3 linked regions of the Alligator mississippiensis genome follow. The protein of the gene in region 3 binds, or shares a complex with, the protein of the main gene of each other region. Links are inferred from orthologs where the notes say so. Each region holds a gene or a part of one and is shown on either strand. Other genes may lie near its edges.

What was found.
Region 1: the proteins of CIC (region 3) and YWHAQ are in contact, whole or in part, in a crystal structure (PDB 6KZG), measured with the Homo sapiens proteins. The link is inferred for Alligator mississippiensis from reciprocal best matches to the Homo sapiens genes CIC and YWHAQ. Residues at the interface, in NP_001291744.1 of Homo sapiens: Arg1207, Ser1208, Met1209, Ser1210, Glu1211, Thr1212, Gly1213, Thr1214; in NP_006817.1 of Homo sapiens: Lys49, Arg56, Lys120, Arg127, Tyr128, Gly169, Leu172, Asn173, Val176, Tyr179, Glu180, Leu216, Ile217, Leu220, Asp223, Asn224, Leu227, Trp228.
Region 2: the proteins of CIC (region 3) and ATXN1 are in contact, whole or in part, in an NMR structure (PDB 2M41), measured with the Homo sapiens proteins. The link is inferred for Alligator mississippiensis from reciprocal best matches to the Homo sapiens genes CIC and ATXN1. Residues at the interface, in NP_001291744.1 of Homo sapiens: Val943, Phe944, Pro945, Trp946, His947, Ser948, Leu949, Val950, Pro951, Phe952, Leu953, Ala954, Ser956, Gln957; in NP_000323.2 of Homo sapiens: Pro572, Tyr573, Phe574, Ser578, Ile579, Ile580, Gln581, Leu582, Ala583, Leu587, Val590, Leu593, Phe598, Ser601, Ala602, Leu608, Asp611, Ser613, Phe631, Val633, Ala638, Gln639, Val640, Val642, Tyr648, Pro649, Phe650, Phe651, Trp657, Ile683.

The regions. Positions count from the first base shown.
Region 1 is NC_081824.1:31,109,932-31,117,400, reverse strand, and holds the start of YWHAQ (14-3-3 protein theta), read right to left. Parts: upstream 3,074-7,469; 5' UTR 2,961-3,073; intron 2,658-2,960; 5' UTR 2,581-2,657; coding exon 2,287-2,580; intron 1-2,286. UniProt on the Homo sapiens protein: Adapter protein implicated in the regulation of a large spectrum of both general and specialized signaling pathways. Binds to a large number of partners, usually by recognition of a phosphoserine or phosphothreonine motif.
Region 2 is NC_081826.1:129,980,144-129,987,966, reverse strand, and holds the start of ATXN1 (ataxin-1), read left to right. Parts: upstream 1-4,793; 5' UTR 4,794-5,095; intron 5,096-5,938; exon of another isoform or gene 5,939-7,413; intron 7,414-7,823. UniProt on the Homo sapiens protein: Chromatin-binding factor that repress Notch signaling in the absence of Notch intracellular domain by acting as a CBF1 corepressor. Binds to the HEY promoter and might assist, along with NCOR2, RBPJ-mediated repression. Binds RNA in vitro.
Region 3 is NC_081838.1:30,783,408-30,790,420, forward strand, and holds the start of CIC (protein capicua homolog), read left to right. Parts: upstream 1-3,929; 5' UTR 3,930-4,011; intron 4,012-4,552; exon of another isoform or gene 4,553-4,653; intron 4,654-4,823; exon of another isoform or gene 4,824-4,896; intron 4,897-5,298; 5' UTR 5,299-5,333; coding exon 5,334-7,013. Other genes in the region: ETS domain-containing transcription factor ERF, read right to left, coding at 583-664. UniProt on the Homo sapiens protein: Transcriptional repressor which plays a role in development of the central nervous system (CNS). In concert with ATXN1 and ATXN1L, involved in brain development.

The sequences.
Region 1 (7,469 bases), on a different chromosome or scaffold from region 3:
AGTTATTTCTTGATGTATTGTGCTGATACTTTACTATTTGAGATTTAGCTACAATTCCTACCCTGGTAATAGTCTATGGATAACAGTTTACTTTTAAACAAATTAAAATTTTGGTGAGCAGAGGGCAGCTCTTGAGAGCACTTTTTGCTGCTGCTCTGTTTAATGTGTAAGCACTGGAAAATTTGTTCTTTACAATGACAGTTTCAATCTCTCTGTTGCTGACTCATGGAGCAGAGTAGTGGCAGACAAGAAGAAAGGGAAAGAGGAACAGAATGGGGGACTGCAGATGGTGCTGGGAGGGAAAGCAGCAGTTTCAGTTCATGCAGTAGAAAGCAGACACCCCCTCCCACTACAGGAAGATGCATATCTTTGATTGTGGAACAGGAAAAGCATGTCACTTCATAGGTTTCAGTCTTCCCTATTTCCTGCAGTCTTAGGGGCCCTGTGAGAGCAGGCAGCTGCCAGCCAAGCCTCAGCTGAGTGCAGCAAGAAACAAAAAAATAAAAATAAAAAATGCAGCAGTAGTGGGGTAAGCTCAGCCAGGGCAAGTAAGATTGTTCCCCTCTTCCCCCCCATATTAGGAGTTTCATTAGTGTGGCTACACCAATTGCTCATCACCAGTTGCCAAAACTGGAGTAATTTTAGCCTGCAAGGGCTAAAATGGCTCGCTGCTGCTCACTTCTAGAGCAACCCGAACTCCTAAGAGCAGCAGAGTGTCTTCTGTTAATATGACATAGCAACTAGAACACTGAAAATGGTTTAAATGCATGTAACCTCCCCTCTTGAGAATTCAGTTTGACAGAAGCAGGCATGAGGGACATTTTAAGAAGTCTGAAAAACTGGTTGTGTGCACAAGTCCTAAGAAACTGATGGCTAGCTAGACCAGTTCACAGAGAGGAAGATAAAAATCAAGAGGAACACTAGTAGTACAAATGTTGGCAACACAACACTATTCCGATTGGAATTCTGTCACATGAAACAAGAATCAGTCTAAACCCATGCTTCACATGAGTTGAGGTATTATTAAAAAAAAGGTAAAGATTTAACAAGTTTAACTATGCCTATAATTGCAGAAGATGAAACTATTAACTTGGCATCTGAAGAATGCTTTGTGGCATTAAAATTTTCTTCCTGAATTAAAATTGGTCTAAGAGGAAGCGCAGACTAAAGCACATGGATATTTTCAGGACAAATCTAGAAAGGGGCACCTTGTCAGCGAACTGGAACTCCTGACTTAATTTGATTTTCAATTATTATTGAGATGGTTAGCTTTAAATATAGGTCTCCTAGCACTATTTAGGCAGTGTTAATGATTTATTAAATAGTAATTTTCTTTTTTGTTTCTTTTTTTTTTTCTAAGAATTTGCTATTCACCTCTTCCTGTCCTAACATACCTACAGTACTAGCCGCTATTATTTTAGTGCTAATGAAGTGGTCAAGGTTATCTGCTACAAACTCTAAACTGCATTACACATCTAGTTTTGTGCAGCCAGAACTTACATTGATTGTATATGACAGGGCGGTGCGCCTTCCGCACTGCTGACACAAATTCAGCCCCTACCACAATGCAGCATATTAGCACCAGCAAAAAAGAAAAGTCTAGTGCACTGTTCAAGGAGCCAGACAGCTATTCCTGGCATCTGTACGCTCATCCACAGCCTCTCTCAGGCTCCAGACCTTTTCAACTTCCACATTATTCCACTATTACTGCATCCATGGAACAAAGCAATGCGAAGAGGATACCTGCACGTGACAACAGCCAGTTTTCTGCAGATTTGCATTGATGTCTTCAATTAAGAAGCTGTGTGCCACATACCACATATTTTACTTCACGACCCCCCCACAGAGCAGTCATGCTTCATTTAAGTCTTCTACTCTTCCATCTCTTTTCCGTAACTGCTAGTGCAGCACCCTGCAGCAGTTTGGGTACCACACCCAGCCTTCCGGGTGCTCACAGACCATCAACCCCATACCAAAAGGGGAAGGAGAATAGTTTCCCGGTCTTCCTTTACCCACCCAGAAGATTACCAATACAAAGGCACAGGCACACCTAAGCTCCAATCCCCCTGCCATCCCTGATCCAGTCGGTGCCTTGCATGTGGCTCTCATGAACCCCCCCCCCCACACACACACGTGTCAGAGTGCAATGCAGCTCATCTCCCCTCCTCACACCCCTGGGTCTGACAGGTTTACTGCATTGTTCAGGCAGGGCCCCCCAGTACATGACACCCACCTCTGGACCACTCCCCCCAACCCAACCCGTAGCAAGCGGCGCCCCAAACTCACCAGCACGGTGGTGCAGATGGACCGGAGCTCGGCCTCCACCTTCTCCCGATAGTCCTTGATGAGCTGCATCTTTTTGTCGCTGGTGTCCGTCTTCTGCTCGATGCTGGAAATGACCCTCCAGGCTGAGCGCCGCCCGCCCACCACGTTCTTGTAGGCCACGGACAGCAGGTTGCGTTCCTCGTTGGACAGCTCGGCACCCTGCTCGGTCACCGACTTCATGCAGGTGGCCATATCGTCGTAGCGCTCGGCCTGCTCGGCCAGCTTGGCTTTCTGGATCAAGTCGGTCTTGTCCATGGTGGCGGGCAGGTGGGTGGGCAGGGGCGAGGGAGCCTCAGCTACGACACCGTCCGCGGGACAACGCGCCTCAGCTCCTGCGGGGGGAGGCGCGGGTTAGGCGGGCGGGCGGGAAGTCGGGCCCCTCCCTCCTTTCCCCCCGCCCCTCCCTGCCCCGCCGCGTGTGTCCGCATGGCGGGGGCTCGGCCGCCCGGCCCCCCCACGAGGGAACATGAGGGGAAGACCCCGCGCCGGCGCGAAATGGCGGCGTGGAGGCAGCTCCCGCGCCCGCGGCCCCGGAGACTCCGCACGCGCGGCACAAAATGGAGGGCGCGGCGCGGGGGGGGGATGGGATGGGGGGGGCGCTCCCGCTCCCAACGGCCGGGTCGGGCCGGACTCACCTGGAGCGGCTGCGCGGGGCCGGGCCGGCTGGCGCCAGGAGCGGGCGGGCCGCGCTGCGCTGCGCTCGGGCGGTGGCGGAGAGAAAGAGCCGCTCCCGTCTCAGACTAGAGCCAGCGCTAAAGGGCGTTGGCACGGCCTCACCTCCCCGCTGCCAGCCCCGCGCCCGCGCGGCCAATGGGAGGGCCGGCTCCGGCTCGGGCCCCGCCCCCCCGCGGCTCAGCCGGCCAATCGGAGTGCAGCGCGCCGCGGCGGGGGCGGGCGCAGGCCGGGCGCAAGCTCGGTTGGCCCGTGGGCTGCGGCTGGGGCCACGGGGTTTCCTCCAATGAGATCCAGGGTGAGCTGACGTCACTGTCGCCATGGTGATGCTGCTACAACCCCCCGCCCTCCCCGGCAGCCGGCGCTGGTCGCGGCATAAGACTGGCGGGGGCGCGGCCGGGGGCGGCTCGTGCTGCGGCTGGGCGCTGCGCATGCGCGGGGGGTGCAGGGTGCAGCACAGGGAGGGACAGCTCCGGCGGGGCGGGTGCTGGGTGCACAGCGGGAGAGGACGGGCAGGAGCGGTCACGGAGTCATAATTTGGGTGGAAGAGACCAGCCGTTCTCTACATTTTTTGTACCAGGCCCCATTGGCAAACAGCGATGGGCAGTGCCGACCCGCGTCCCCCAGTGTGTGGGCCAGGGGGCCCCCAAGCAGCCCCTTGCAGCTGCAGCTCTGCCAGGGAAATGCCGCGGTTTCCCACGTTTTTGAAGGAGGATCCATTTTTTGATCCATTTTTTAATTTTTTTTTCCTGATCCTTTCACATATTCCTGGGACCAGGTTGACAAAGGCTGGTCTAGTGCAACCCCTGCTCAGCGCAGGGCCAGCCCCAACTGCCTCATCCCAGGCAAGCCTTTGTTTAGCTGGATTTTCAAAACCCCCAAGGATGGAGACTCCACCACCTCGCTGGTGAACCTGTTCCAGTGCTTCACCACCCTCCTCCCGAGAAATTTCATCCTAACATCTAACCTAAACTTCCCTTGCTGCAACTTGAGACCGTTGCTCCTTGTTCTGCAATCTACCACCACTGAGAGCAGTCCAGCTCTATCCCCTTTGGAAACTTTCCTTCAGGTAGTTGAAGGCTGCTATTAAATCCGCCCCCTATTTATAAACCATTAAATCTTCCGCAGACTAGATAATCCCAGTTCCCTCAGCCTCTCCTCAGAAGTCGTGCCCCAGCCCCTGAACCATTTTTCTTGCCTCCCACTGGACTCCAATTTGTCCACATCCTTTCTGTAGTGGGAGGCCCAAAACTGAACACAGTAGTCCAGATGTGGCCTCACCAGTGCTGAATAGAGGGGAATAATCATTTCCCTTGACCTAATGGCAGCACACCTACTAATGCAGCTGACTATGCCGTTAGCTTTCTTGGCAACAAGGGCACACGGCTGGCTCGTATTCAGCTCATTGTTCATTGTAACCCCCAGGTCCTTTCTGCAGAGCTGCTGCCCACCCAGTCAGCCTTCAGCCTGTACCAGTGCATGGGATTTTTCCATCCTAAATGCAGGACTTAGCACTTGTCCTTATTGGACTTTGTGAAATTTATTTTAGTCCAATACTCCAATTTGTCTAGGTCTCTCTGAAGCCTAGCCTGCCCACTGGCAGATTCCACATAGCAGTAAGGAACCTCACCCTCTTTAGATCCTGGCCCCACTCTGGGATGTGGCGGCTATGGGCAAGACTGAGTGGAGCTGTTTAGGTCTTTCAGGTGTTTTAAGAAGGATGAGACTTATGTGGATAGGTTTATCCTTCTCCCTTGACCAAGGGAAGAGACCCACACAGTAAATGGAGACAAGCAGACTGTTCTAAGTGCCAGGCTGTGTCACCAGTCATCCCATTTCAAGTAGTACAGGGATGATGCTATGAGTTAAAACACAACCTTGTGGGGAGGGTGAGATTGTCAGGATGGATGGAGTTTGGCCCTGTTCACTGAGTCTGGAGTGAGAGAGGTTTCCTGCAGGTCAAGATTACGAAAGGCTGGAAAAGGGATGGGAAAAATTCTTCCATTTCATTACCTAATGACAGGAACTGGAAGGGTTATTTTCCATCTGTGGACTAGGAGACAGGAATTACTAGGCCAGAAGAGCTTTTAACTTTCTCAGCTGAATTTCTTCAGGGGCCATTCTAGGATGGCCAAGAAGATAAAGCAACATTTACTGTGCACTTGGGATAAAGAGACTGGGTGACAGAGTGCCTGGTTGTACTGATTTAGGTTTCTTTGATCCCATTGGTAATGGGCTAGGGAAGACAGGGCAGAAAGAAGTCCTACATTTGGCTTGAGTAAGAATCAAAATCTTTATTCTATGGGTTTCACCTGGAATTAATATTCAAGAGGTTGCCAGGATCAGTAGATAAAGACTGGCATTTCAGGCTCATACACTTAAATCAAGAGTAATAAAGTATCATCCATCCAGAATTTAATTATGGCAGCTGATGCCCCCAGTCTTGCATATATGTTATAAAATACAACTTGGGTGTCCCTGATGGACCTGCTTTGGCATAGTTGGTTCTAGAGACAGTTATCTATGTTATCCTGAAGTCAAGTAGAAGGCAGGCTAAATTTGCACCTTAGGGTGTGTATAGAAGTGCTCCATATAGGTTTTAATTTAAAGCACTTTTTATAGGACTAAAAAGTTACAGCACCTTTAAATATGACAGAAGTGTAGTGTTGGGGAGGTGGGGCTCTGAGCTTCCTGGGGCTTCTCCATTAGTCAGAAAGTTGACCAGAGTACAGAAGTTATTTAAAGTGCTGTAGGTTGCTAAAGTGCTGTAAAATACTGTGCTTCAAATTTACTATCTCATTTAACAAGGGTTAATTTAAAGGGCTCTACCCATTTTTAAAGTGCTGTAAAGTCATGCACTGCTGTTAAGTCACAACAATAAAGCTCTTTAAATGGTAAAAAAGCAACTTCTGAACACATCCTTATAGACTATCCAAAGAGCTATATCTATATGGACATATTTTTCTTTGGTTAGTCTATAAGATGCAAATCCACTTTACCTTCTTATAGTTGATTCTAGACAGGCATTGGTATAGCATGATCCTAAGATGGAGAGGTAAGGAGACAATGTAGTTATGCTTTATCATCTTATTCAAAATAAAGGAAGGCTTCTAATCTACACCAAGGGTGGTGCAAATACATGCTTGCAGGCCCAGGGACTAATTACCCTAGTTAGTGCTTTGCAAAGTTGCTGCATAAACTGACGGAATTCTTCACTAGAGAGGTTTTGAAGTTCCCAAATGTTGTATTGTTCATCATGTGATATTCTTGATCTAGTATTTGGGCTAAGATTGAAGATTAGCTACTTGAAATTAGGCCCAAGTCTTAACATGGCCCATTTGGAGTAATTCAGTCTCCTTGTGTGTCTGAATTCCAAGACAGTTTTACCAACATGATGAGCACATACTCTCTCTATTTCTACCCATGGTGCACAGGAGGAATAGCCCTCACTGAATGTGTTGCCTTCACAAAAGGAAACTAACGAGTACTTAGCTTGTTTATCCTAGCAAAACAAAGGCCTAGCAGGGAAATGATTGTTCTGAACACATCAGGAAAGCAAACACCAGGGACAGAAAAGAACTACTTAAACTACAGGACAGCAGGGCACAAGGACAAACTGATATGAAGTGGTCATTAATCAATTTAGGCTGGAAATCAGGTTTCTGAACAGAACAGTGAAGTTTTGGAATAGCCTAATAGGAGTACTGGGGCAAAAAAATCCTAACTGTTTTTAAGATGGCACTTATGAAAGGGATTGTGTGATGTGGTTGCTTGTGGAAGCCAGGGACTGGATCTGATGACCCAGGAAATTTCTAGATGGAATTCAAGAATAGGAACAGGAATAAAAATTCAGTATTTCTTTTTAACCTTATGGCACAACATGCAGTTTTCTGCACTGTTTACTGTGCACCATCCAAAATCTTCACTGAAAACAGATTTGTAAATTTCCTTACAAGCTTTTCAAAGATGCTGCATCAGAGTATCTTGGTTCTCACAGACAGTACTAAATGTATCTTCACCATGCCCTTGTGAAGTATGATAAGAATTATTTTTAACCAAATAATGTTTCAGGCTAGAAGCCACCAGAAAAGTAAAAAGTGTCAACATGATTGGGTGCCAAATTTGAGGATTCCAGTGTTTTGTAGCACCATTTTTGTTCACTATCCAGCTTCTGCTGACTTCACTCACAGCTGTGAGGCTTAGCACTTCTGCAAATTGCATTCCAGATGTCTCCCATTGAAGCCACAGAAAATGTGCTATTACAGTTCTGGTTTATGCCACTTGCCTAGAATTCCATATGAACTCTATCAGAGGGCAGTATATAAATCACCTAAAAGAAAAGCTAGGGAGATTGTCTAGTCCCCAAGGGCAATGGTTTTCAGTCTGTGCTCTGCAGAACCCTAGGGTTTGTGACAGGTCATCAGAGGTTCTGCAAAGAGACTGGGGGTAATGGCAGAGTGAGCTGGTAGGGT
Region 2 (7,823 bases), on a different chromosome or scaffold from region 3:
GATTCATGCTAGGAGACAAAGTCAAACTGAGTTGAAGATAGTGAGGTTTGTGATGGTTCTTAGTTCCTGGTGGGAGTTCATTCTACTGTTTTGAGCTACCCCAGAGAAGGATCTGTCTCCTGCCCAAATGAGTTTTATTCTTATTGCAGGAAATTCCATTTTGCCAGAGGAGGTCTTCATCCTGGTTACTGTGTATGCTTATTTTCTGAAACAAATGACTCCTCCCCTCATAGGGCTTAGTCCTGCATGCCTTGTTTTGTCAAATCTCCCAGTTTAAATCAATAGGACACCTTACCTAACCAAAGGCTAAAAGGATTGGGCCCTGTGCCTCCCTTCTTTGGAAAAGGTCACATTATGTGCCCCACCTCTTCAGTATTAATCAGGTCTCTTGTCTTCAATGGCAAGTTGGATCTGTGCTCTGAGGCAAAGTTCCTGGATGTTGTGGAATCTAAAACCTTTGCTGTAGCTTTTCTAAAAGTAATTTCTGTAATCAAATATAAAAATCCAGTAGATGAAGCAGGCTGTGTTGTTTTATTTATTCTAAGATGTCTGCATGTTTTTGGTTCCTGATCTGCCAAAGGGTTTTGTGCTGACACCATATATTTGTCCTTACTCTGTGCTAGAAGAAGCTGGAAGAGTAGCAATTAATTAAAGTAGAACTAGGTGGAATTTTTTGCCCATATGGAGGCAGTTTGGGTTTGTAGCAACTCCAAAAATTGTGTGTCAAATTTAGGACTGTCAATTAATCACAGTTAACTTAAGTGATTAATGGAAAAACAAATTAATGCATTACTTTTTTCAATCGTGTTAATCGCACACATCATTTTGACCAGTGGAGTGGACCAGCGCCAGACCAGCTGGGACCCATGTGCACAGCCCTGTCCCCAGCCCACTCCAAACCTGCTCCAGACACACCTGCCCACGCTGAGCAGTGGCAGCAGTAGCAGTGGCCAGGCAGAAGCTGCTAGCTGGCATGGAAGAAAATGCCCCTCCTAATCACTGCTGGGGCCTTCTTGCTGCAGCCACCCAGAGCCCACACCTGGGCTGCCCTGCAGCTTCTCTCTGCTGCCATCACTGCCACCTCCGGGCTGCCCAGTGGTGGCAATGCAGAGAAGCCACAGGGCAACCCAGGTGTGGGCTTCAGGCAGCTGCAGCAAGATGGGCTCAGCAGCAGTGACGGTAAGGGGCCTCTTTTCCTCCTTGCTGAGCAGCAGCTTCTGCCTGGCTGTTGCTGCTGCTCAATGTGGGCAGGTGAATCTGGAGCAGGCATGAGGCAGGCCAGGGATGGGGCTGTTTGCATAGGTTCTGGCTGGTCCACTCCAGCTGGGGAGAGTCTGTAGCAGGCACGGTCTGGGCCAGGGTCGAGGCTGGGGCTGTGTGCTGTTGGTGGTGGCACAGAGGAACCACCCGCAGGGTACGCAGGCTCGGGTGGTGAGGAGGTACTGGCTGTTGTTTAACTGTGCGATTAATTGCGACTATTTTTTTTAATCTTGCAATTAATTGCTATGATTTTTTAAAATCTTTTGTCAGCCCTAGTCAAATTGTTTGTAAACCCAGGAACTCCATGCTGCATCTGTTTATATTCAGTTTTACATTTTAAAGGGGTTCTTCTTAACTGTGAGGTCTAGAACTATAGATAAAGCTTACATTTTGAAAAACATTATTCCATGGCAAAGTATGGCAAACTTCACAGCCAGAGAATGGAAGAATGAGCAGTGTTAATCTGTTGCAAAGGGGAAAGTTGTCCAAAGCTTGCTTCAGCATGAATGTGGCTTCTCTTTCTCCGTATGTGCCACACCTGTTGGCAAGGCGAACATCTCCGAAGGAAGAGATTCCTTTCTACTGAGGTAACTCTCTGAAGTACAGAAGTAACAAGGTGACGGGGAGAGAATGCAGTGTGTGTTGAGCTGAACCCAGATTAAGGTGTTGCATCATCACTAGCACTTTTACGTGGTTTTCAGTAATTCACCTTCTCGTCCTTTCTTTGATTACATTAATTAAACTTGCATAAGCTGGGAGAGGATGCTACTGAGGTCTGCTTTGCTGTTGCAGATTGGCTACCCTGTGATGCTGAGTTGCATGTCTCCAAATGCCTAGGCTTGTTTCTGTCCCCAAAGCACTCAGAAAGCAGAGAATGCCATCCTTTTGTGCAGACCTTAACTAAAGGTTTAGACGTTGCAACAATAAAAGAACCTAATTCTTCATAAGCCTATACTAGATTGTTGTTTCCTATAGGTCAAAACCTTGGCAGCTTACAACATTGTTTACATTTGCTCTTTAGTGAGTAATATATTTCTAAGTTATAGAAATGCTTCACTGACACCTGAGGGGCATCTAAACTAAAAAAGTGCCATTTGAGATCCTGCACTGGTGTGAGTGAACTGGTGCAAGTAGTGACAGTACAGAATGGCCACACGAGTTATCCTGTTTGGAGGAAATGCAGTATGTTCGGTCCAAATTAGAACCTCTTTTAAGTGTTGCCAAGGGTTATGAGGCATTGTACATATGCTACAATGTTCAGCACATCTCTCCTTAGAGCAGGTGTCATTATGTCTATAGCATACATAGGGCATTTGTGCGTGTTCCCACTGTGGTTACTTTTGCCTCAGAAGATGCTTGTGCATAATAAAGAACAAGGGTTACTCTGTGCTGTGTCCTCTCACTTGCTAATGCTGTGGCAGTCAAAAACTTCTTCTGGACTCACTGCCAGGCCCTACCAGGACCTAGTAGGTTAGTAGGTAATACAACAAGCATGGCCAGCATTGGGCTTTGGTGCTTTAGGAGGAACAGCACTTGATTTTATGATGTGCTTTCACTTCCCCAGTACCCTCTTCAGTTTCAATTTTGTTCTCCCCTTTTTTTGGCTACTAAGATAATGGTTTGTTCTCTTCTGTGTTGTCTTCTAGGAAACTGGAGCCAGTCCAGAGGTCTCTGAGACAGGACATTTTCTTGGACTCTTTCTTGCCTCCAAGGGTGTCACTCTCCTGTCACCCTGACCTTCTGTAATGGAGCCGCTGAGACCCAAGGTCCTCCTCCAGGGGAACACAGGACAGTAACTAGTGGAAGCTGAACCACAATGGAGAAGTAAGTCATTTTTCCCAAGGCAATAATTGGGAGTGTCTTAGCCTCAGAGCAGGTATAATCAAGGCGGTGACACCTAAACAGACCTGTGCACTGTTGACACAGAGTACTACACTTGCACATACCTGGAATAAATTAGGGCAGCCTGTGTATGACACATGGCAGACTGGGGAGGACTCAGGCAGCACAGTGGCAGATAGGACAGGAAGCAATGCAGCAGATGGGGCAGGCAGCAGAAAAAGCAACAGATCCAGCAGAAGCCCAGGGCAGAAAGCAGAGCAGCAGATAGATCAGAGAAAGGAGATCAGAGTGCCCTTTGGGGAGGTTTTGGGGCTAATCTGTGACACGCTTGCCAAAAAAGACTGGACTCCACTGTATTAGGGTGTCCAGAGGGCCATTAGTATCTATATTTACCTAGTCTGACTAGGCCTTTCTTGAGGTTTAATGAAGGACATGAGTAAAAGTCATCAAAGCCTTGATCAGGGAGCAAGTACCATGGGCAGAAACAAAGTAGACCCTGCTAATAGGATTGGCCCCTGTACAAAGCATGTTAAGCAGGATTTCCTAGGAGAAGAGAGGCAGGCTTTGGCTTCTGCTTCCTTAGGGCATCCCTCTGTCAGGCACCTTCAGGCAGGCACCTATCTCACAGGCCTGGGGGGTGAGGAGTCGGGGGGAGGAATCCCAGCCTAGGTGAGACCAGCTGATCTCCACCATGTCCAGGAGGGATGGTGGCCAGGACAAGGCAGCTTCCCCAAGGCAGCCTCTAGCTAGCCACAGGAATGCTGGCCATCCTCAGAGACCCCTGGGGTTGGGAGTGAGTAGGATGGTCCAGCTCCACAGGACGAGCACCTTGGAGATCAAACCAGATTGCTGGCCAGACACAGGCCCCTTGAGCATGTATATATATTTAAAGAAATTGTCATGTTCCAAGCCAAATCAAGTCCAAATCCGTGAGTCAGTCCAGAACCATAAGTGGCCCTACAACCAGCAAACGTCCTCTACCCATACCAGGAACATCAGATGTTTCCAACATCTTTTGGCAGGCATCCAACTTGGGGATGCCTGAGTTTCACTTGCCCTCAGCCATATGGCTGCAGGAGCAAGCTAGGGAGGAACCTCCCCTTTCCATGAAATGGACTTAAAGCCCAAACACCTTGGCAGGTACTAAACCACACCAGAAGAGCGCTTATCCTCCAAGCGCTCAAGGAAAACTGTCTTCAGGGACTCAGATACATGGTGTTTCTCCTGCCAGGTAAGTATTGACAGGGTTGTATAGAAGCAGGATGTGTGCTGCCGTGGTTCCCCTGCTTTACCTGTGGCAGGGTCGGGGTTAGGTCTCTGTTGAGTCAGGGTTGGGTGTAGACTTCTGCAGAGTTCAGATGAGGGCTGTAGGGATGGTTTGGCTAGGGCTGACAGCGCATCCGGCAGCGGGTCGGACCTGATGACCTCTGGAGGTCTTTTCCAGCCTGACTTCCCTCTGATTTCTACCAGACACCCACAAGGCGCTTCCTTCTCCGTGCATCCCTAACCCAAGGCCAGCGAGCAGAGCTGGCCTGGCAGAGGCCGGAGGAGCCCTGCAAAGGGTTAAGGCCGGTTTGGCTCGGCTCTGCTGTGCGTATGCTGTAATGTGTGGCTCTCTTTGGCCGCCTGCCAAAGTGTTGCCTTGCCTCCACCTCCTCCTCCTCCCTCCCCTCCCCTCCCCTCCTCCCTCCCTGCCTTGTGCATGAAGTCGGATCCTTGAGCTGTTGCAGAGGCAGCCAACTGCTCCATATTTGGCTTCGCTTACACACTGACATACCGGGGAGCGGAGCAGCCTCGTACCGCAGACATCCCTGCATCTACTACGGCGCTGGGGGCAGCCGGGACCCGCGTGTCACTCACTCACTCCCGCCGCGGGGGAAGGAAGGAAGGAAGGAGCCCGGAGGAGCCAGCCCCGCTGCAGCACCCCCACGCCCGGCCCGGCCCGGCTGGGTGCTGCTGCCTCCCCCCGCCCCTCCTCCAGTGACACTTTACAGTAAGTGGTTTTTTATTTCTCCTCTGCTTTTGCCTCCCCCTCCCCCTTCCTCCTTCCCTGCAGCTGGAAAAAAAAAACACGGGGGGAGGGATCTTCTACCCTGTCCCTTCCTTGCTTTTGGGCACAAGGGCTTTGTGATCCCCTGGGAGTGTGTGTGGGGGGGATCATTGCACCCCCCCCCTTGCTGTGCATGCAAGGGTTGGGGGGGAAGGAGAAGGGATCTCTTACGCTGTCCCTCCTGCCCCCTCCCCTGCTCTTGGGCACAAAGGCTTTGTGATCCCCTGGGGGCACGCACTGCACCCCGTCTGCTAGGGGGAGAAGGGGTCCTACCCTGTCCCTCCTGTACCCAGGCTCCTGCCCCCCTCCCCTGCATGCCAGCTTGTGGGCACAAGGGCTTTGTGATCCCCTGCACCCCCCCCCCCCCTTGCTGTGCATGCGCGGGGGGGAATCTCCTACCCTGTCCCTCCTGCACCCGGGGCTCCTGCTCCCTCCCTCCCTCCCTCGCCGCGCAGCCCCTGGGCGAAAGGGCTTTGTGATGCCCTGGGGGCAGTCCCTGCACCCGCTTGCTGTGCTGTGCTGTGCTGTGCCGTGCCAGGCGGGGTGCAGGAGGGCCGGGGCCGGGGGGGGGTGCTCGTGGGGGAGGGGTCTGAGTTGCAAGGCCGGGCCGTAGTAGGGGGGGCGAATGAAGCGAGCGGCGCGGGAGGCGGCCGGCGGCGGCAGCAGCAGTAGCCTTCCCGCTCCGGGCCCGTGCGCAGGCCGGCTGCAGGCACCGGCTGGCGCGGGGCCGGGGTCAGGGCAGGCCTGGCTGCCCCGCTCCACGGCCTGGGGCTGGGCGCGGCGCTCCGGGGCCCTCACAGCGCCCCCCCCGGCCGCCCGGTCCGGTCCGGCCCGGCCGCCTGCCCGGGCCCTTGGGAGCCGGCTGCCCTGCAAACCACCTCCAAAATAACACCCCCCCCTCCAGCCTTGTCAAGTCCAGCTCCCACCAGAAGTGATGAGGCTGATGGGGGGGGAATAATAACCATCGCATTATTATTAGTAGTAGTAGTATTAGTGTTATCATTATTATGACCAGAGTGAGGCCTGTTGGGATGTGAGCGGGGATGGGGAGCAGTCGCTGAAGAGGAAACACGGGAGAGAAAACCTCCCTCTCCTCCCAGCGCATTATATAAGGAGAAGGCTGAGCTATTTTTATTTCTGTTTACCCTACGCAGGGCAATGGGGACTCTTGCAGGCAGCAAGTTTTCGGGGGGGGGGAGCCACTCTTTGGCCCCCCCTGGGTGAGGCTGGACTCCGGATATAATCAGTAAAAAAAAAATGAAAAAATGAAAAAGAGAAGCCTTCTGATGAACGCCTGGGTTAGAAATGCAGTGTAAAAAAACCACTGTCCCTTCCGCCTGCCCTTTATGAGCAAATAAGAAATGCGGGAGGCAGATGACCTTAGTTCTCCAAAGCCTTTTTATATTTGGTGGCATGAAGACATCCGTATGTCGTCATGCAGGTTCTCCTTAAAACGTAAGGATCCCTGCTATCTATTTTATGCAGCAGGGGTAGGCTGCATGTCAGACATGGTCTGGCATAGCCGGTTACTTTGATTATATATTAGGTAAGTCGAGGGCTTTTCATTTCAGTTTCCAACCCAGACCTTTAGCTACTGCAAAATTCAGATAGCATGTTAATGTAGTTATGTTGCTTTGGATGGTGAAGACAGTTCAGTTTTATAACCTGGAAAAAGGATTATGAATGAGGGGGAGAAAATTGAGGGTGAGAGAAAAAAAATATGCCGTAGCTTTTTTTTTTTTTTGGTGAGATGCAGCAAGGTGTCTTCTTAGAACAGCTTACAATTTTGTCTCATTGTCTCCAAACATACATGCATATATAAAAAATAAAAATAAAAAAATGGTCCAATATTTTACAGGCAGCAATTCTTAGAAAAGGCTGGCTTTATTATCGCCGTTTATGTAAGGCAAAGGTTGATAGGTTTTCTTCAACTCTTGCCTGTCTATCTCTCTGTCATCATGTAGATACATGTCAGTGGTGTAGGTTTTCAGTGCACTTACTCTAGCCCTGATCAGTCATGTAATTAGATCAGGCTGCCATGGTAACAGACAGTATTCATCGTCCATTCAGGTGTGTTTGTCTTGTGACTAGGCTACCTCAAGCGGTATATGTACTGTATTTATGTTGTGCAGCCTGCATAGCTGACTGCTCTGTCTTCTTGCAGAATGTTTCAGCATATTGTAATCATTTCCTGACCACTGAGTATGTGAAAGATGCTCCTCGAGTGCTACAGCATCAGGCAGTTTTTACATTTGTGCACGGTATGCAAATATATTGACCTAGTCAGGGAAATTACTCTAGTGTTTATTGTTTGTGAATCAACAAATGTTTGCTACTCCTTCTAAACTTTTTTCCAGGCTTATCTAAATGTTTAGTCCCCAGTCTAATCTTTTTAGAGGGCTAGGTGTTTAACCATGTGAAGGCTGAAATTGTGCATGAAAGATATCACAGGTCTGAGGGCTAACAGCTTAGGCCCCAAACGGCGTGCCTAACTTTACGTGCTCTGACTAGCAGAACGAAAGTGATGGATAACTGGCATCAGCATTATCACTTACCTCAAAGAACGTGTTGTTATAAGCATGTTTGTAATTCTTAGCAAGATTGGGGCCTTCGTGTGTTTTACTTGGTCATTGAATTTCCAATTTCACTTTCTAAAACGTTAGGAGGAATA
Region 3 (7,013 bases):
GGGGGGGGGGGCACGCAGAAGTGAGTGGGGGGGCACGTGCCCCCCCTTAAAGACACACGAGTCTATGGGGGGCCGAGACCCCCGGGACAGTGCAGGGGGGCACTGAAGAGTGTGTGCGCCCCTGAGTCCCCTTTGTGTGCGTGCACCCGCGTGCCCCCCCGCGGGCCGTGCCCCCCCCTGCCATTTTCTTGCCCCGTCTCGGAGTTGGGAAAAGTTTGGTGGGGGGGCTGTGTGGGGGGGGGAGCCGAGGGGGCGGGGCACTCCCAAACGCCCGCATCCCACATACAATCGCTGGCGCCGGGGGGGTCCCCCCTCCCGGCCCCCCGCGTGTCACGTGGCCCCGTGGGGGGGGGGCGGAGCCCCCCCCCTTAAAGGTGCCGCGTGGGTCGGGAACAACAAGTTCTTCTTGGACTCTCAGGTACCCCCCCCACGACCCCCCCAATACAGAGGGGGCAGAGAGCAGCTCCCCCCGGCAACGTGGCAGCCCCCCCCCGCAAGGACTTGGGGGAAAGCAACAAGTCTTCCCTCCTCCCCCAAAAAAACTTCCGCCCCCCCTAGGTGCCCCCCCCCCGCAGTCCGCACCTGCGTCCGCAGGGGTCTTCATGGCTCCTGCGCTGCCGCCGCCGCGGGCTCGGCCCCCCCCACCCCCCCGCCCCGCGCTCATATGCACCGGGCCGCCCACGCCCCCCCGCACACGTCACCGCCGCGTCGCCATGGACACTGGGCCCGCCCCCCGCGGCCCCGCCTCCGCCCCGCCCCGGCCCCGCCCGCGCTGTGGGGGGAGGGCTGCTTAAAGGGCCCGCGCGGGAAGCGAGGGGCAGCCGGCAGGGGGCGCTGCGCTGGGGGGGTGGGTCGAGAGTGAGGGGCCCAGGGCGGGGCGAGTGGGGGTTGCAGGTCGGGAGTGGGGGGTACCAGGACGTAGGGTCGGGAGCGAGGGGCACCGGCGGGGGCACCCTGCAGGCGCCTCGGGGCGGGCGGGCAGGCGCGGGCAGGCCGCAGGAATGCGGCAGGTCCAGGCTGGGGCTGGGGCGGTGCAGAGGCCTGTGGAGTGGGGCGGGGAGCAGGTCGGGGGTTCCCGCCCTCAGCCAGGCCCAGGATGGTGGCCGGCGGGGTGGGCTCTGGAGAGCATGCACAGCCACGCCTGCAAAGGCACGCGTGTGAGGCCTGTGTCACAGGTGTGAGGCCTTATGGGCCGGGGCGGCTCAAGGGGCCAGGGCACGTGTGTGCAACATGCCGAGTATGAGGGGCAGGCAACGTGTGAGCGTTCTGTGACCCCACCCTGGTGCCATGTCCCCATGCATGTGATTGTGTCGCACCAAAACGCCCGTGTCTTCATGTGTGGAGCTGCCATGGCCTATGTGCAAGGGCACCCGTGTGCCCAGAATGGTTGTGCCAACACAAATGCACGCGCACAGACACAGCCCCATGCTTGGAGATTTGCAGGGGGGCATCCTAGGTGCCTGGGTTCTGCGTGTGCAAGCACACAAGCGCATCCCTAATACTCGCGTGCGAGCATTCTCCATGCCTGGCTCGCGTGTTCATGCATGTCCTGGATTCCTGGGTCCTATATGGACATGTGCCCTGGGTGCCTGGATTCTGCATATGTGTGTGTGCATGTAAGTGTGCGCTGGTGTGCCCCAGATACCTGAGTCCTATGAAATGCTTTTGTGTGCATCTGTGCCCAGATACCTGGGTTCTGTGCATATGCCCTAAACACATGGGTTGCCCGTGTGCATGTGTCTGTCTGCCCCAGACACCTGGGTTCTGTGCATGCGTCTGTGTGCGCGTGCACACATGCATGTTAGACACCTGGGTCTTCACATGTATTTGCCTGTTCTGGGCACTATGTGCATGTTGCCAGACCCAGGTCGGTCTCTCCATCCACTGCACGTGCTGCGAGCACGTGTCACACCTGCAACCCCGTGCCTGCGGCTCTTTGCACATCCCTGGGACAGTGTCTAGGCCCTGCATGTGCCCTGGAGGGCACAGTATGGTACACATCTCCCCCGTGTGTGCGGCCACTTGCACGCACTTGGGTACATGTGCATGTGCACAGCACGGCACCCCACACATCTTCAGATCTGTATCTCCTGCACATGCATGCGCATGTGTGGGGCTGGGCCCCTCTCTGCCATGCTGTGCATTGTGCCCCCAGGGATCCCCCCCGCCCCCCCCCCCCCCCCCCGACTCTGGGCCCTGGGGTAGTAATTAGGTGTTTGTTTACGATGCTTCATTTAGCCACAAACTACTAATGCTCCTCGCATGCGTGTGTGCATACATGCACCCGTCTGATGCAAGAGCAGGCCGAGCAAACCAAGGGGTGCCAGGGGCTTGGATGTCTGGGTTCTCTCCAGGTTTGGGGGGGGGGGGGGGGGCTAGGAGCCAGATGCCTGGGTCCCTGATCCAGGTGCAGTCCTGGCCTTGCATGCCCACATGGCCCCTTGCAACACCCCCCTGCCCTCATGCCCATGGCTCTCACTTGGTGGCCTCCAGGCCGTGCCGACATGCCAGCTCCCTGGGGACCAGTCCTGACCGAACATCCTACCTGGGGGGAAAGGGGGGTGAGTGAAGGGGTGACATCACCCCCCCCGCCGGGGTGCCCCCCCCTTCCCTGTGCCCGGGGGTGGGGGGGCAGGGCTGGTGCCGCCGGTTCTGGCCCTGCTATAAATAGGAGCCTTATAAATAATGCAGCGTGATCGGCTATAATTATCGGCGGGAAGTTTGCGGCTGGTAGGATGCATTAGCGACCCCCACCCCTGGGTCCCCAGGCCCTGGGGGCCCTGGCCTCAGCAGGGCACCACTGCGGGGAAGCTTACAGCGCTGGGGGCAAAGCCACAGGGAAGCTGCAGGGTCCTGGCTCCACAAGGAGAAACGGGGGGGGGCAGGGGGGGGGCTGGAGCCACAACGTCTGGGCCCCACCCTCATTCCTCTCCCAGAGCTGGAGAGAACCCAGGCCCCCCCCCCCCCGAGAGCCCAAGCATCTCAGCTCCCAAACCCCCTGCTCTCACTCTCTGGGCCCTAGAGAACGCAGGCATCTGGGCTCCCAGCACCCCTGCTCTCATCCTCCCAGGGAGCAGAGAGGACCCAGGTATCCTCACCCCACTGCCCTGCCAGGGAGGAGAGAACCAGGTGTCCAGGACCCCCCTACAGCCACTTGGAGGTGGGAGGGGAGGCCTGGACCTGCCCAAAATTAGCCACCAGTGCTAAATCAGCGGCAAAATCTCCACAGGTCCCGCCTTGGCTCTGCCTTCTCGCACCAGCCAAGCCGTGGGCACGGGCGCAGGCATGGGCACTGCACAGGGCAGGTCAGGGCAGGCTCCGAGGCAGGAAGGGGCCCGGGGCCTGGGCCTGGTGAGGAGCAGGCCAGGGTCACGTCCTCACAGCAGGCTGCCCACCAGCCTGGGGTCCAGACACTGCTGCAGGCAAACTCAGGGCATGTGTGGGGGCGGTCCCCAGGTACAGAGCTGGGGGAAGCTCACAGCATTGGGGAGCTCACAGCCTTGAGGGAGCTCACAGCACTTCTGGAGAAAGGTCACAGCATGGGGACAGCTCAGGGCAGGGCTGGGGGAAGCTCACAGCCTTGGGGGAGCTCACAGCATGGGGACAGCTCAAGGCAGGGCTGGGGGAAGCTCACAGCATTAAAGCCAGCACAGGGCACTGCTGGAGGAAGCTCACAGCATGGGGACAGGGGGCGGGGCCAAGGCAGAGGTGGGGCCAGGGCAGGGGGCGTGGCGAGCGGCTCCAGCGTGTCCCCCCGCTCCCCCCTCCGCTCACCCCGTTCCGGTCCCGCCCTGATTGGCCGGCTGCTCCGGCCAATGGGCGCGCGCAGCGGTGACCTCATCCCTCGGCCGCCCCGGGGTCCCATTGGCCGCAGCGGGCCACGCCCAGGGCCCCCACGTGGGGCACGCGCCCGGGGGGGCGGGGCCGGGTGCTGATTGGCCGCGGCGGCTCCGCTGTTGCTGAGGGGAAGCGCGAGGGGCCGACGCGGGACCGGCCGCGGCTGCCGGGGGGGTGAGCTCATGCATATGCTAATGAGATGCAAATCGCATGCAAATGAGGGCTCCGCGGGGGTGAGCGACTTCTCCGTAGAGTTTCTGCCCCGGCCGTGGGGGGGGACGACTACAAATCCCGTGAGGCTTTGCGCGCGGGGCCTGCCGGGAGCCCCCTTGAGCGGACTTCGCTTCCCAGCAGCCCCCGCGAGGGCCGCGCGCTTCCGCCTCGCGCAGAGCCAGGTAAACAAGGCCGGGCCCCGCCGGGCCCCGCCCCAGCTGCGCCGCCATTCGCTACTGTAAGCTCGGCACCTCCCCGGCACCGCGCTCCCCACGCCCTCATTGGCTACTGTAAGCGTCTATCGGAGCTGGGAGCACCGGCCCCGCGCAGCGCCCGCCCCGTCCCCGGGGCCCATTGGCCTGCGCGGCTGTCTGTTGTGGGAGGCGGGGCTTACACGGGCCAGGCCCGGCTTCTATTGGGCGGCACCGCCGCCCGTCAGGTGGTTGTGGGCTCCCATTGGCCAGTGTGTCCAGCTGGTCCGGATTCATTCACCATTTTGTCTGCTGGAGTAAAAGGGGCTCGGGGCGGCCGAGTGGGGCTGGGCCGCACCATCCCGCGGGCAGGGGGGGCCGGGCCGCACCATCCCCTGTGCCGGGGGGGCAGGTAACGGGGGGGCGGCCCCAGGGCTGGGTTGTGCCACAGCTGGGGGGTCGGCTGTACCATTTCGCTCGGAAAGGTTGGTGGGGGGAAGTCCTTGTCACCCCGCCAAGAGTGGGGAGTGGGAGCTACCATCACCCCCACAATGGGCGTGCCGGGAGGTGCCACTGCTTCCAGGGCGGGGGTGAATAGAGAGGTCTTGTCTCCCAAAGTTGGTGGGTCAGGAGAGTCTACCCTCCCAGATATGGGGTGAGAGCTGGGCCGTACCAACCACCCCAAAGCAGGGGGCGGGGGCACGCTGGTGCCAAGCGAAGTTCTGGGGGTGTAGCAGGCCTTGGGCCCTACCACGATTGTGTGCGGTGGAGGGTGGGTGATGCCTGGAAGTGGGGTGTATTATGGGATGGGGGGCATTGCTGTGTCAGCCCCGGGGTGTTGGGGTAGGGTGGGCTGGGGGCCAGTCCTTGGGGACGTGGCCCCCTTGGCTGTGGGTGGCTTTGGGGCTGGGCTGGAGAACAGGGGCCAGGGCAGTGCAGGGGCTGGGCTGGGCTGGGCTGGGGGTGGGCCTTGAGGGGACAGGGGCTACAGGTTGGGAGTGCGGGGCACTGGCAGGACAGCAGGGGTGCCTGGAAATCTGACCCCTGCTCCCCGCAGGTCCCTGAGTCTCTGCCTGGCCTGGTGAGAGGAAGATGAAACCCGCGGCGAGGAAGGCTGCCAGCTCCTCACCCGCGTCCAGCACAGGCAGTGGCAGCCACTCTCCCCCCTCCACCCGAGCTAAGGCCCAGCGGCGCCGCCCGGCTGAGGGGGGCCCGAGGCTGGAGGAGGAAGAGGAGGGCGGGGGCAGCGAGGACGCTCCTGACCAGCCACCTGTCTTCCCCGGAGCCCGCTGCACCATGGAGCCCACCCTGGGCCCACCTGTAGAGGCCCCCGAGGCAGAGGGGGCGCCAGGGCCCGACGGGGAGCCCTCCCCCAACCGCAAGACAGCTGCCTTCAAGGCCCGCACGCCACGGCGCAAAGCGGTGGGGCCTGGTGAGGACTGGAGTGGCAGTGAGGGCTCAGCTGCCCCCCCGGAGGATGAGCCTGGGGGCCGGTGCCCCTCATCCAGCACGGACACAGCCAGCGAGCACTCGGCTGATGAGGAGGCGAAAGCAGGGCCGGTGGCACAGCCCTGGGGCCCAACGCCTCAACCCGCACCCTATGACCTGCACCAGCTGCGCTCCCAGCGGGTGTTGGCCCGGCGCGATGGGCTCTTCCAGCCCGCCGTGGTCAAGCAGATCCGACGCGGGCAGGACCTGGGTGTACAGTTTGGCGGTGACCGGGCTGTGACCTACTATGAGGGGGCACTGAGTGCCGGGGCCCCAGATGTGGTCCTGGACGCCACGCCCCCACCAGGCGCTGTGGTCGTGGGCACGCCCGTGTGCGCTTGTGTGGACCCAGGTGAGACGGCCTACCGCGAGGGCACTGTGGTGGAGGTGAGCATCAAGCCAGCCTCCTACAAGGTGCGGTTCGGGTTGTCACCTGGCCCCAGCCCCAGCCCGCGCCGCGACTCAGCCTGGGTCCCGCGCTCTGGCCTGCGCCTGCTGCGCCCACCCTGGGCCCGTGCTGAGCCTGAGAAGCCGGCAGGTGAGGTGGAAGATGAGGCACCCGGTCCTGAGGCCAAGCAGCCTGAGGACGCCGAGGTCTCCAAGATCAGCGCGGGTGCAGGCGAGCCGCCGGCCCCCATCCTGCGCCCGCTCTCGCCCCCCAAGTCACCGGGGCTGCCCCGCCTGCCTGAGGCACCGTCGCCACCCAGCGGTGCTGAGGCAGGCGGCAGCCGCAGCAGCAGCGGGCTATCCGGGGAGAAGGGTGCCGCACCAGGGCCACCGGGGCCGGGCCCAGGGCGCCGCACGCCATTGACTGCGGCGCAGCAGAAATACAAGAAGGGTGATGTGGTATGCACACCCAACGGCATCCGTAAGAAGTTCAATGGGAAGCAGTGGCGGCGCCTGTGCTCGCGCGAGGGCTGCATGAAGGAGTCGCAGCGACGTGGATACTGCTCGCGCCACCTCTCCATGCGCACCAAGGAGCTGGAGGGGCTGGAAGGCAGTGGGCGAGGCAGTGGCCTGCGCGAGGGCAGCGCTGAGTTCGACTGGGATGACACGTCGCGGGACAGTGAGGCCAGCAGCGCACGGGGCGACTCACGGCCCCGCCTGGCACCCACTGACCTGTCGCGCTTCGAGCTGGACGAGTGCGAGGCAGCTGTTATGCTGGTGTCGCTGGGCAGTTCACGCTCAGGCACCCCTTCCTTCTCGCCCGGCTCCAACCAGTCGCCCTTCTCGCCCGCGCCCTCACCCTCGCCCTCACCACTCTTTGGCCTGCGCCCTGCCAGC